Linked DNA regions of Arabidopsis thaliana. The protein of the gene in region 1 interacts with the protein of each later gene in a pairwise test. Each region holds a gene or a part of one and is shown in the gene's direction. Other genes may lie near its edges. The genes, in order: AT4G14310 and CKS2.

Evidence for each region.
Region 2: the proteins of AT4G14310 (region 1) and CKS2 interact in a protein complementation assay, tested with the Arabidopsis thaliana proteins (one study listed by BioGRID).

The regions. Positions count from the first base shown.
Region 1 is NC_003075.7:8,235,995-8,242,055, reverse strand, and holds AT4G14310 (Transducin/WD40 repeat-like superfamily protein), read left to right. Parts: upstream 1-1,731; coding exon 1,732-3,252; intron 3,253-3,487; coding exon 3,488-3,568; intron 3,569-3,615; coding exon 3,616-4,232; intron 4,233-4,375; coding exon 4,376-4,919; intron 4,920-5,002; 3' UTR 5,003-5,297; downstream 5,298-6,061. Other genes in the region: AT4G14320 (Zinc-binding ribosomal protein family protein), read left to right, coding at 31-215; AT4G14315 (uncharacterized protein), read right to left, coding at 883-1,062; AT4G14305 (Peroxisomal membrane 22 kDa (Mpv17/PMP22) family protein), read left to right, coding at 5,451-5,522, 5,602-5,700, 5,784-5,885. UniProt on the Arabidopsis thaliana protein: Might be involved in division plane determination.
Region 2 is NC_003071.7:11,911,552-11,915,627, reverse strand, and holds CKS2 (CDK-subunit 2), read left to right. Parts: upstream 1-2,202; 5' UTR 2,203-2,367; intron 2,368-2,479; 5' UTR 2,480-2,515; coding exon 2,516-2,568; intron 2,569-2,662; coding exon 2,663-2,723; intron 2,724-3,030; coding exon 3,031-3,168; 3' UTR 3,169-3,477; downstream 3,478-4,076. Other genes in the region: AT2G27980 (Acyl-CoA N-acyltransferase with RING/FYVE/PHD-type zinc finger domain-containing protein), read left to right, coding at 44-101, 193-249, 331-588, 662-726, 803-859, 950-1,043, 1,339-1,479, 1,562-1,678. UniProt on the Arabidopsis thaliana protein: Binds to the catalytic subunit of the cyclin dependent kinases and is essential for their biological function.

The DNA.
Region 1 (6,061 bases):
TAGTCCTATGTGTTTTGGCCTTTGTGTTAGTTTTAATTGAGAGCTGTGCGGGCAAAATGGTAGATGAGATGATATTCTCTTGTGTCTGCTGTGGTGGTCCTGGCTGCTGTGGTGATAGAGGAGAAGGACCTGTTGGTGGTGGTATTGACAATGAACCGGTGAATGTAGTAGTGGTGGTGGTGGAGCCAGGCAGCCAGCGGCGGAAGATGTGGTGACGGTCAAGGATGCTACTTCAGTTTTTCTTTTTTTACTTTATTATACTTAGATTCTGGTACTATATATATTATGGGTATAGATAATTTACACTAAAGTTTTATTTCCGTTATTTAAAATTCGTGTTTTATTTAATCTCTAATTTTCTGTTTCCAAGTCGAATTCCTCTGTACTAATTATACGGCCTTTTAATTTTACAATATGAATAGCCATTTTCTACTAACACATTCTTACCTTTTAGAGGTGTTAATTTTAAGGTAAGTTTCTTCTCTACAATTACGTAATATCATTCAAATCTGTTCATGCTGACAAAAGTTAGGTACTTTTGTGTATATTTCTCGATCATTGACATTGTCTACTACGCTAATATCTAAGGAAAGTGGCATCGATTCTACTTGCTTGTAAAACATACATCGCGATGTAAGTCAAATTCTCTAATAATGTAAGAAACGAAGTGAGAAAGAAAGATAAATCCAAAAAATTTACTTGCAAATCAATAGAGATCCAAACCAACTGCGCATGCGTTAGTCAATTGATATATTGTATATAATAGAACAAATACAATTTTTGTTTTTATAAATGTATAACCAAAAACGTAAGAGCAATACTATCGAAATAAATACGTACTGCATATTACACGATAATAATAGAAAGAGATTTGATGTTTGATCACTTGGAAGTAAAATGGAGATAGAGAAACACAAAGAGCAATACGACCGGAAACATCAAGATCATTGGAAGAGATGGTGCAGTCACCGGTCCCATCATCAACGGAACAAACAGTAACATTAGTGCAACGACAACAATCGCCAAAACCGAACCCATCCCGAATCCATACTCATTCGCCATTTTCGTCTACTTTTCGATAGGAGTAGTGATCAATTCTGTGTTAGTGTCTCTAATTGGAGAAGTTATATATACACAGATTCAGACATCAAATCTACGGTTGTGTCGTTTCCCCGAGAAGTAGAAGACAACGTTTCGTGTACTAATGCATGAAACACAAAAACTGGCGAGACCTTTCACGTTAATAACCACCTCAAAACGCTGCGTTTCGGTTTATTTGTTGCTGCCACGTGTTTTAAAAACAGCATACCCTAAACGCATCGTTTCGTGTCGCAATCAACTATTCAACTGTTACTGTATATTTTATTAAAAACGCAGCGTTTTAGTTAACAAAATTCGTGTCGCTATTTCTACACTGCCACGTGTTTCAAAATGTCGCGTTCTGCATTTGTTGCTATCACGTGTTTAATAAATTTACCTAAACGCTGCGTTTCGTTAATCAATCGACTTTTTGAACATTCGCGATCTCCAAAAATTTTGAGTTTTTTTTTTGGAAATCCCGCCCAAATATTTTGAAATTGAAACTCTAATAAATTTGTCGGCTTGTGGAGTTGCGGTAGTGATATCCTCCATTTATCGTTTTGTGCTTTTTCTTCAAAAATCAAAAGCTTTTATTTTTCCCCCAAACTTTTTTTTCAAAATCCTAAATCATTTTACCCTACGATTTTGCAGATGTCAGCTTCAACGAATCGCCGCCGGCTAAAAGATATAAACACCGGCGCCGGTGAAAATCCATCATCTGGTAAAAAACCATTGAGGTCTGTAACTCCACTTCCGATCTCAAGCAAAAATTCAAATCCCGCTCTTCAGAAATCATTATCCAGCAAAGAGAATCCGAATCCGAAGCTTAGTCACCGCTCATTTGGATCGACTCAGAAGCCAGTGCTCCGGCCTGTACCGCGCATTGATAAGTCCGCCGTGAGTGGCGAGGGTCGGGTTACGCGATCCACGTCATCTGGTTTGCGAGGTAGGAGTTCTAGTCCATCTGATTTGATTAGGGTTTTCTCGGATTTGAGAAAGAGAAATGAATCTAGGGTTATTGGGGAAAAGGGTGAATCGGGTCAGGATAAGAAGTCTGGGCTCAAGAGTTCTGGATTCAAACAGGGTACGAGTGAAATTAAGGTTGAGCCAAGTAGTGTTTGTGAGAAAGCAGATGAAGGAAGTAGTTGTCCAGTGAATTCAAGCAAATTTGAAGGTTCTAGTGTGGCGAGAAATTCAATTTCTGATCCAAAGGCACATGCTTTAGTTGGTTCTGGAGAGAAATCTACTGTTGCTTTGAAATCTGATAGTAAGATTGAAAAGACTGGGAAAGGGACTAGTGTAGCTTTAAGAAGGAAGTCTTTGGATAATGTTGGGAAGGCAATGGAGATGTCAAAGGATATAAGAGGAAATGAAGGAAGCAGCAATAGTACTGCTAAGTATCCAAGCAAGCTGCACGAGAAGCTTGCTTTTCTTGAAGGAAAGGTTAAGAAAATTGCATCAGATATCAAGAAGACAAAGGATATGCTGGATTTGAACAATCCGGATTCGTCTAAGGTTATAATCTCTGATATACATCAGAAAATCACAGGGATTGAAAAGTCTATGAGTCATGTTATTGATGGTCCAGAGAAAAACAAAACTACGAAAGCAAAAAGTTCTGTGAAAGGATTAAATAAGGAAGAGCTGGAAGACAGACTCTTGCCTCACCAGAGGTTGCTAAGGAGCAGAACTCAGTCCAAAACATCTTCGCATGTCTCAAAAGGCCATGATTCTGTTGAGTCCAACAAGGCAGTGAATGCTGAAGAAAAGCCGTCAGCTCCTGTTGAGGAGAATGCGATAGCTCTAGAGTTCTTGGCCTCACTTGACAAGGAAAAAGTCACATTTATGAGTGATCAGAATGCGCTGGAAAATCTGGAAGTGCAGGAGATGGATACAGAGGAGCCGTCAAAGGAAAATGATGTCTCAAAAGACGTCAATCTGACTTCCAACTTAACTGAAATTCTTAGAGCAAACGAAGCCCTCGAGGAAATTGATGATGAAGAGAATAGAGAGGAGATGGAGCTGGAAGAAATAGATGATGGATGCATGTATCAACTCAATGACATTGGGTCCAAAACTTCTACAGGAGGATGGTTTGTATCAGAGGGCGAGGCAGTTATACTTGCTCATGATGATGGCTCGTGTTCCTATTACGATGTCGCTAACTCTGAGGTACTATGCGTTTCTTCATTTATGAAAAGTTTTTAGTATCATGTTTGATCTAACTTGAACTGTGCTAGTGTGGAACATTGATTTTAAAATCTCATATTGACCACAACATACACATATCTCAAGTTACGAGAAGATGTTTAGCATATCTTATTTTGATTTAGATTGGATTTTTCATCTTATACTTGCAGAAATACTTAGTGACTAAAGCTTTATTTTGGGCTAATAGTATGCACAGTTTATGGTTAATGAATGTAATTCTCTGTCAATCTGGGTGCGTTTGTATGAAGTGACTGGAGTTTTTGGCTTTGTTCACTATGTATGCATTATTATCTTTTACATCAAAGACTTGAAATTCTTTTTCAGGTGAAATCTGTGTACAGTCCTCCAGATGGTATCTCACCAAACACTTGGAGAGATTGCTGGGTAGTTCGTGCACCGGGTGCTGATGGCTGCTCAGGCAGATATGTCGTAGCTGCTTCTGCTGGGAATACCTTAGAATCTGGCTTTTGTTCATGGGATTTCTACACGAAAGACATTAAGGCACTCCACATCGAGGACGGATCTTCAAGAGTTTCAAGAACAGCTCTTGCTCCTCTACCCAATAACACATCACATGGTAGGAACACTCCGGCTTGTGCAGTGGTACCAGAAACTCAACAATGGTGGTACAGACCGTGTGGTCCTCTTATAGCATCAACTGGTAGTTTTCAAAGTATAGTAAAGGTTTTTGACATACGAGATGGGGAACAAATCATGAAATGGGGTGTGCAAAATCCTGTGTCAGCTTTAGATTATTCGAGCCCTTTACAATGGAGGAATCGAGGAAAACTTGTCATAGCCGAAACTGAAGCAATTTCTGTTTGGGATGTCAATTCCCTTCACCCTGAAGCACAGCACACCATTTCCTCTTCAGGGCGAAAAATCTCAGCTTTTCATATCAACAACACAGATGCTGAAGTTGGGGGTGGTGTTCGTCAAAGGTAAAAAAACTTTATTTTACCATTTAGCCTCTTACTATCTCCTCGCTTGGCCTCATAAATTGAATATGTGGAAGCTAAACAATGTGGATACTTTACTCTTTCTCTCTCATTCACTTATAATGTTCTCTTCACATGGAATGCAGAGTAAGTTCCTTGGATGCTGAAGGAAACGACGGAGTATTCTGCACTAGTGATTCAATCAACATCTTAGATTTTCGTAACCCATCTGGCATTGGTGCTAAAATCCCCAAACTCGGTGTTAATGCTCAATGTGTATCATCTCGAGGAGATTCAGTGTTTCTAGGATGTACCAATCAGAAATCAACTGTCAAGAAACAAATGGCTTCTTCTTCTCAGGTGCAGCAATTCTCCATAAGGAAACAGCGTCTCGTGAGCACATACAGTCTGCCTGACTCAAACTCTCACCCGCACCACTCTGCAATAACCCAAGTCTGGGGAAATTCAAATTTTGTCATGGCTACTTCTGGTATGGGACTATTTGTGTTTGATACTGCAAAAGAAGAGACCTTGCAACAACAGCCATTGACAAGTGACTATGGAAGCGTTCAAACAGTAAGAGAGATCATCGGTCCAAACGATATGTATTGCCCGTCATTTGACTACTCAGGTTGTCGTGTACTCCTCATCTCAAGAGACCGCCCGGCTTTATGGAGATACCTCTTATAGGTAAAGCAATAAAATTGTTGAAGAAAGAAGTCTTGAATACAAACTTGTGGCTGATGTTTATAGTTGAATTTCGTTTCTTTCAGGTGAGTAAATCAATCTAAAGATGGTGATCCCACGAGACCTATATTTAGCAAGTGTTAGCACAGCTTGTGCTGCTTTCTCTTGTGTTGTGTTCATACTATTGCTCTTTGTTACCAACTATGATGCTTTTCTGGATTCTCTTTCGTGCTATTTGCTTATTTGACTTTACTCTGTACATACATGTGGTGTTTTGATCAATTTCCTAGGTTTCTTTCTCATTACTCAGATGATTTCTGTGTTATAAAATGGTCCGAAGAAAAAGATATGACAAAGCATATTTGACTAACGAATATATTCCTAATTTAGATATTTCTTAATTTGGCCTAAAGTAAATCCATTCGTTACCCATAATCTAATTTTTTTTTGTTAATACGAAACATGGTTAACTTCTCTTAAATCAAATCTGGATCTTTTAGTCTTGTCAAAATCTTGCTATTGAATCTTCGAGCCATGTCGGATCTTGCTAAAGACGCATGGCGAAAGTATCTGATTCAGCTTCAAGCTCATCCTTTACGAACCAAGGTTTGTTAATTTCGATCAAAGAAGTCTCAGTTTATGAGAATCTTGCGATGATCATGTCGTCGTAATGATATTTTTTCAGGCGATCACTGCAGGGGTTTTAGCTGGATGTAGTGATGCTATAGCTCAGAAGATCTCTGGAGTTAAACGGATTCAGTTCCGGAGATTGCTTCTCCTTATGGTTCGTTCCTTATTTGTCTTATATATGTTTGCAGTTATATACTTTTTTAGTCTGGAGAAAATGTGATGATCTCTTTTGTGCAGTTGTATGGCTTTGCTTATGGAGGACCATTTGGTCACTTTTTCCACAAATTGATGGATACCATTTTCAAAGGGAAGAAGGGTAATTCAACTGTTGCCAAAAAGGTTTTGTCTTTTGAACCAAACTATCATCTTCTTGAATGCTTTTTGAATTCTTGGTTATATAACAAGTCAAACACTTGTTTTCCCAGTTTGTTTGTATCCATCCTTGGAATTGGATTCTAGATTACAACAACTTGTTTAACTTATATTCTGTTAGTTTCCTTGTTGCAATTTGGAAT
Region 2 (4,076 bases), on another chromosome or scaffold:
GCTTATGAGACTGACCTTTGCTTAATTTTCTATGTTGTTGCAGAGGTCATAGTTTTTGCAGGTTGGGCTTTAATGCTCGCACTGTGATTATCTGTGATCAGGTACTTTGTTGTTCATTGCTGTATAGGGTTCCTTGCCTCTTAAATCTGCTTCTGGTCTTCACCATTTTTGGTTTTGTTGTTTTCTCCTCAGTGTGAAAAGGAATTCCATGTTGGCTGTTTGAAAGAACGTGACATTGCTGATCTCAAGGTTCTTTGCCTATTTAGCTCTTTCATTCCCTCGGGTGAAAACTCAGTATCTATCTTTCTCATTCTTGTTATGTCTTAACAGGAGCTACCTGAAGAAAAATGGTTCTGTTCCCTCGGGTGCGAAGAGATCAACACTACATTGGGCAATCTGATAGTTCGCGGAGAAGAGAAGCTAAGTAACAATATTCTGAATTTTTTAAGGAAGAAGGAACAACCTAATGAAGAAAACTGTCCAGATTATAAAACCACTCCTGACATAAGATGGAGGGTCCTTAGTGGGAAGTTGACCTCTTCAGATGATACCAAAATATTGCTTGCAAAGGCACTTTCCATTCTTCATGTAAGTCAAGACCACATTTCAAACTCTTCTGTCCTTTCTGCTGTTTGTCCCTTCTAACAATTGTATGCTATAGGAACGGTTTGATCCTATCAGTGAATCTGGGACCAAGGGAGATTTGATACCAGCCATGGTGTATGGGTAAGCAATTTTGTATCTTCAATCAGTCGAGTGGATTATTCTTTGTGCTGATCAACAACTTTTGTGTGTGGAACAGAAGGCAAACAAAGGCCCAAGATTTTAGTGGCATGTACTGCACTATGTTGGCTGTGGAGTAAGATTCTTCTTCTTTTTCACTCTAATTTATTTTCTGTGACGCATGTTTCATCTTTTTAATGTTGTCCTTTTTTTGTTTCTTGTGCAGCGAAGTGATTGTTTCAGTGGGAATCTTTAGGGTTTTTGGGTCAGAACTTGCAGAACTCCCTCTGGTTGCTACCAGCAAAGATTGTCAAGGGCAGGTAAACAGTTTTTATCTGGAACCTTGGATGTTTTTTCTTTACAACAGGTGCCTACTCCTATAGAATGGTTAATAAACGACTCACTCTTACTGTCAATCCCATACATTGATAAATTATACAGTGATACATCTAAGCAGACATGTTTTTGTGTCGAATAGCTTAAGAGCAGAACAATGTGTAGCATCTTAATTGCAGAAGGAATTTTTTTGTGTCAAATTGTACCTGGGGGATGAAATGCTTGTGATTGCTCTTTTTTGAGAGTTTGAGAATTTATGTTTTTTTTTTCCTATTGTAGGGTTACTTCCAATGCCTGTTTGCTTGCATCGAGAGGCTACTTGGGTTCCTAAACGTGAAACATATCGTGCTACCAGCAGCAGATGAAGCCAAATCCATATGGACTGACAAATTTGGTTTCACCAAGATGACCGACGAAGAGGTATATATCTATATCCATATAAACTTATATACACTCCCAATGAATCCCATCTCTGATACACACTGTGTTTGTGTGTTATTAGGTGAAAGAATACAGAAAAGACTACTCGGTGATGATCTTTCATGGAACATCTATGTTGAGAAAGAGTGTACCAGCACCGAGTGCCGTGAGTAAAACTGAGGCCAGTAAGGAGGAGTAAGCTCAAGGTTGTCTTTGTTTTTTGGTTTTTGGAAAGTTGGTGAAACGATTGGATGCTCTTTTTTAATCTAATTTCGGGTAGTAGCCACGTTCTTGTACAGGTTTCTCCCCTAACGTGTCTTTCTTTGTAATGGAAACTAGAGAGAAAGATACACAAAAGGGTTAGAGAATTTGGTTTTGGTAGAGACGAAGTAGAGATAAGAGGGGGAAGTAAATGGGGAAGTCTAAAACATTAGGGCATTCTTTTGGGGGTTTAGTCATGATTATCCGAAGCTAATTTTTTTTTGTATATTAGTGCCCAAAAATGAAATTCAATTTTCTGAAATCTTTTTCTTTTTGTCACTGATGTTTATATATCGAACAAAGGAGGTATACAAAGCCGGCGAGTATACGGACACCTGAACTCTGACTATAAGAGGAAGATACTGATGCCTTTAGAAATGAATCTCTGAACCGGGAATTATACCGGTTTGATTAACGTCGAACCGTAATCAAAATTTTAGGGCTCCACTAAGCGGGAAGGAGCGCCTCTAAGAAATTTGAAACTCAAAAAAATCAAAACACCCGTTGAGAAAATGCCCCTATAAATCCCCATAATTACTTCCTTACCACAATGCCTTTTTAATTCCCTTTCGCTTTCCCTCTTCTCCCCTAAAATTCATTTCGTTTCCGATCGCACTTCTTCTCAAGGTCTGCTTTACTTCCCGATTCTTAGATTAGGGTTCGATTTCTGATTTGTTTAGGTTCTCGTCGTTGTTTAGGGTTTAGATTACTGACAGATTGCTCCATTTCTTTTGTTTAGTAAATTTAATAGACGTTTGTTGGGTGATTTAAGAAGATGGGTCAGATCCAGTACTCCGACAAATATTTCGATGATACTTTCGAATACAGGTGATTCTCAGTTTGATTCTCCTCCCATTTTAATGGAGTTCTCTCTCACGTTTTAGTTTCAGTCTAATCGCGTGGTCTTTTATTTTTCTCTCAGGCACGTTGTACTTCCTCCGGAAGTTGCTAAGCTTTTACCTAAGAATCGTATTCTTTCGGAAGTAAGTTAAAAATTAGGGCTTTCCTCTATTCGCTGTATAACCCTTGAATCATCGTAGGCTAAGAGATTTACATGTTTAAGAAATTAAGTTAGGAAATTGAAGTTTGGACTTTTGAGAGTCGAAGAAATTGAAGTTTCTGCTTAGGAATTTGAAGTTTTGCTTCTCATTAACTTGTTTATTAACTTTAGGTTGTGTAATTGTCAGCAGTGACGAAGATAGTTTAGATATTTTTTTGTGTTATCAGTCAATTCTCAGTTTTCTGATTTTGAAGTTAACAGTTTTCTTGTTTTACAATCTGGTTTTGTAGAGTGAATGGAGAGCCATCGGAGTGCAGCAAAGTCGTGGATGGGTTCATTACGCGATTCATCGTCCTGAGCCACATATCATGCTCTTTAGGAGGCCTCTTAACTACCAGCAGGAGCACCAAGCTCAGATTGCTAAGTAGAAGAATTATGCAAAATTCTCCCTAATCTCTGTTTATGTCTCTCGTAAACGAGGTTTTAAAATACTACTCTGATGTTTTGTTCCTGTAGTTTTTTTTATTGTGTTCATGAATTCTCTTCAGTGGAGAATCATGTGAGTTTGGTAGAACAACTTTTAATGTTATGTTAAGTCTGGTCCTTTGCTAGACTTTGGTTGGATCCACGTTTGAACTTCTTCATGGTTAAGAATGAAGACGTTATTTCTCATGCTTATGTGCTTGTTTCATCATTTCAACCTCTTTTTATTGCTCCTCTTAGAGTCTTAAGTCCATAACTATGAACAACAAACAAGGTATCATTACAATGCCAATCTGAAGGTCTAATCACGATTCTCATGGCGATACTGATTCAAAGAAACTCATATTGTGTCTCAATCACCACATTCACCAAACACCATATATTCCTTACTGTACTACTATTAGTGTATTGAAACCAGGAGATTCAGAGCCATTTTTATAAATTAACTAGATATGTATCTTATACCTAGTGTGAAGCACTGATTGTTGGAATTAAATGAAATTTCGAGAAAATGAACGAGTTCGTAGTTTGATGGTAAATAACAAGGTCTTTGGTCAAAGCAACCAAACAAGTTGTTGAATTTAATTAGAACCAAACCAATCCACCCAATTTCAATTCATTTTGGTAACTAACCGGTTTATAATCATTCATACCCAATCGGCGTCTTCTAAAGAATTTCAAAACTCTAAAAAGTTAATCAAACACCCCTCTATTTCCTCATAATTACATATCTACCCCAAACCACTTTATTCTCCTTTCACTATCTTCCCCAAATTTCAAACGATCAGATTACAGATTCTTCAATTCCTCTTTCCCTTCTCCTCCATTTCCTGATTAAGGCTTCACATCTCTG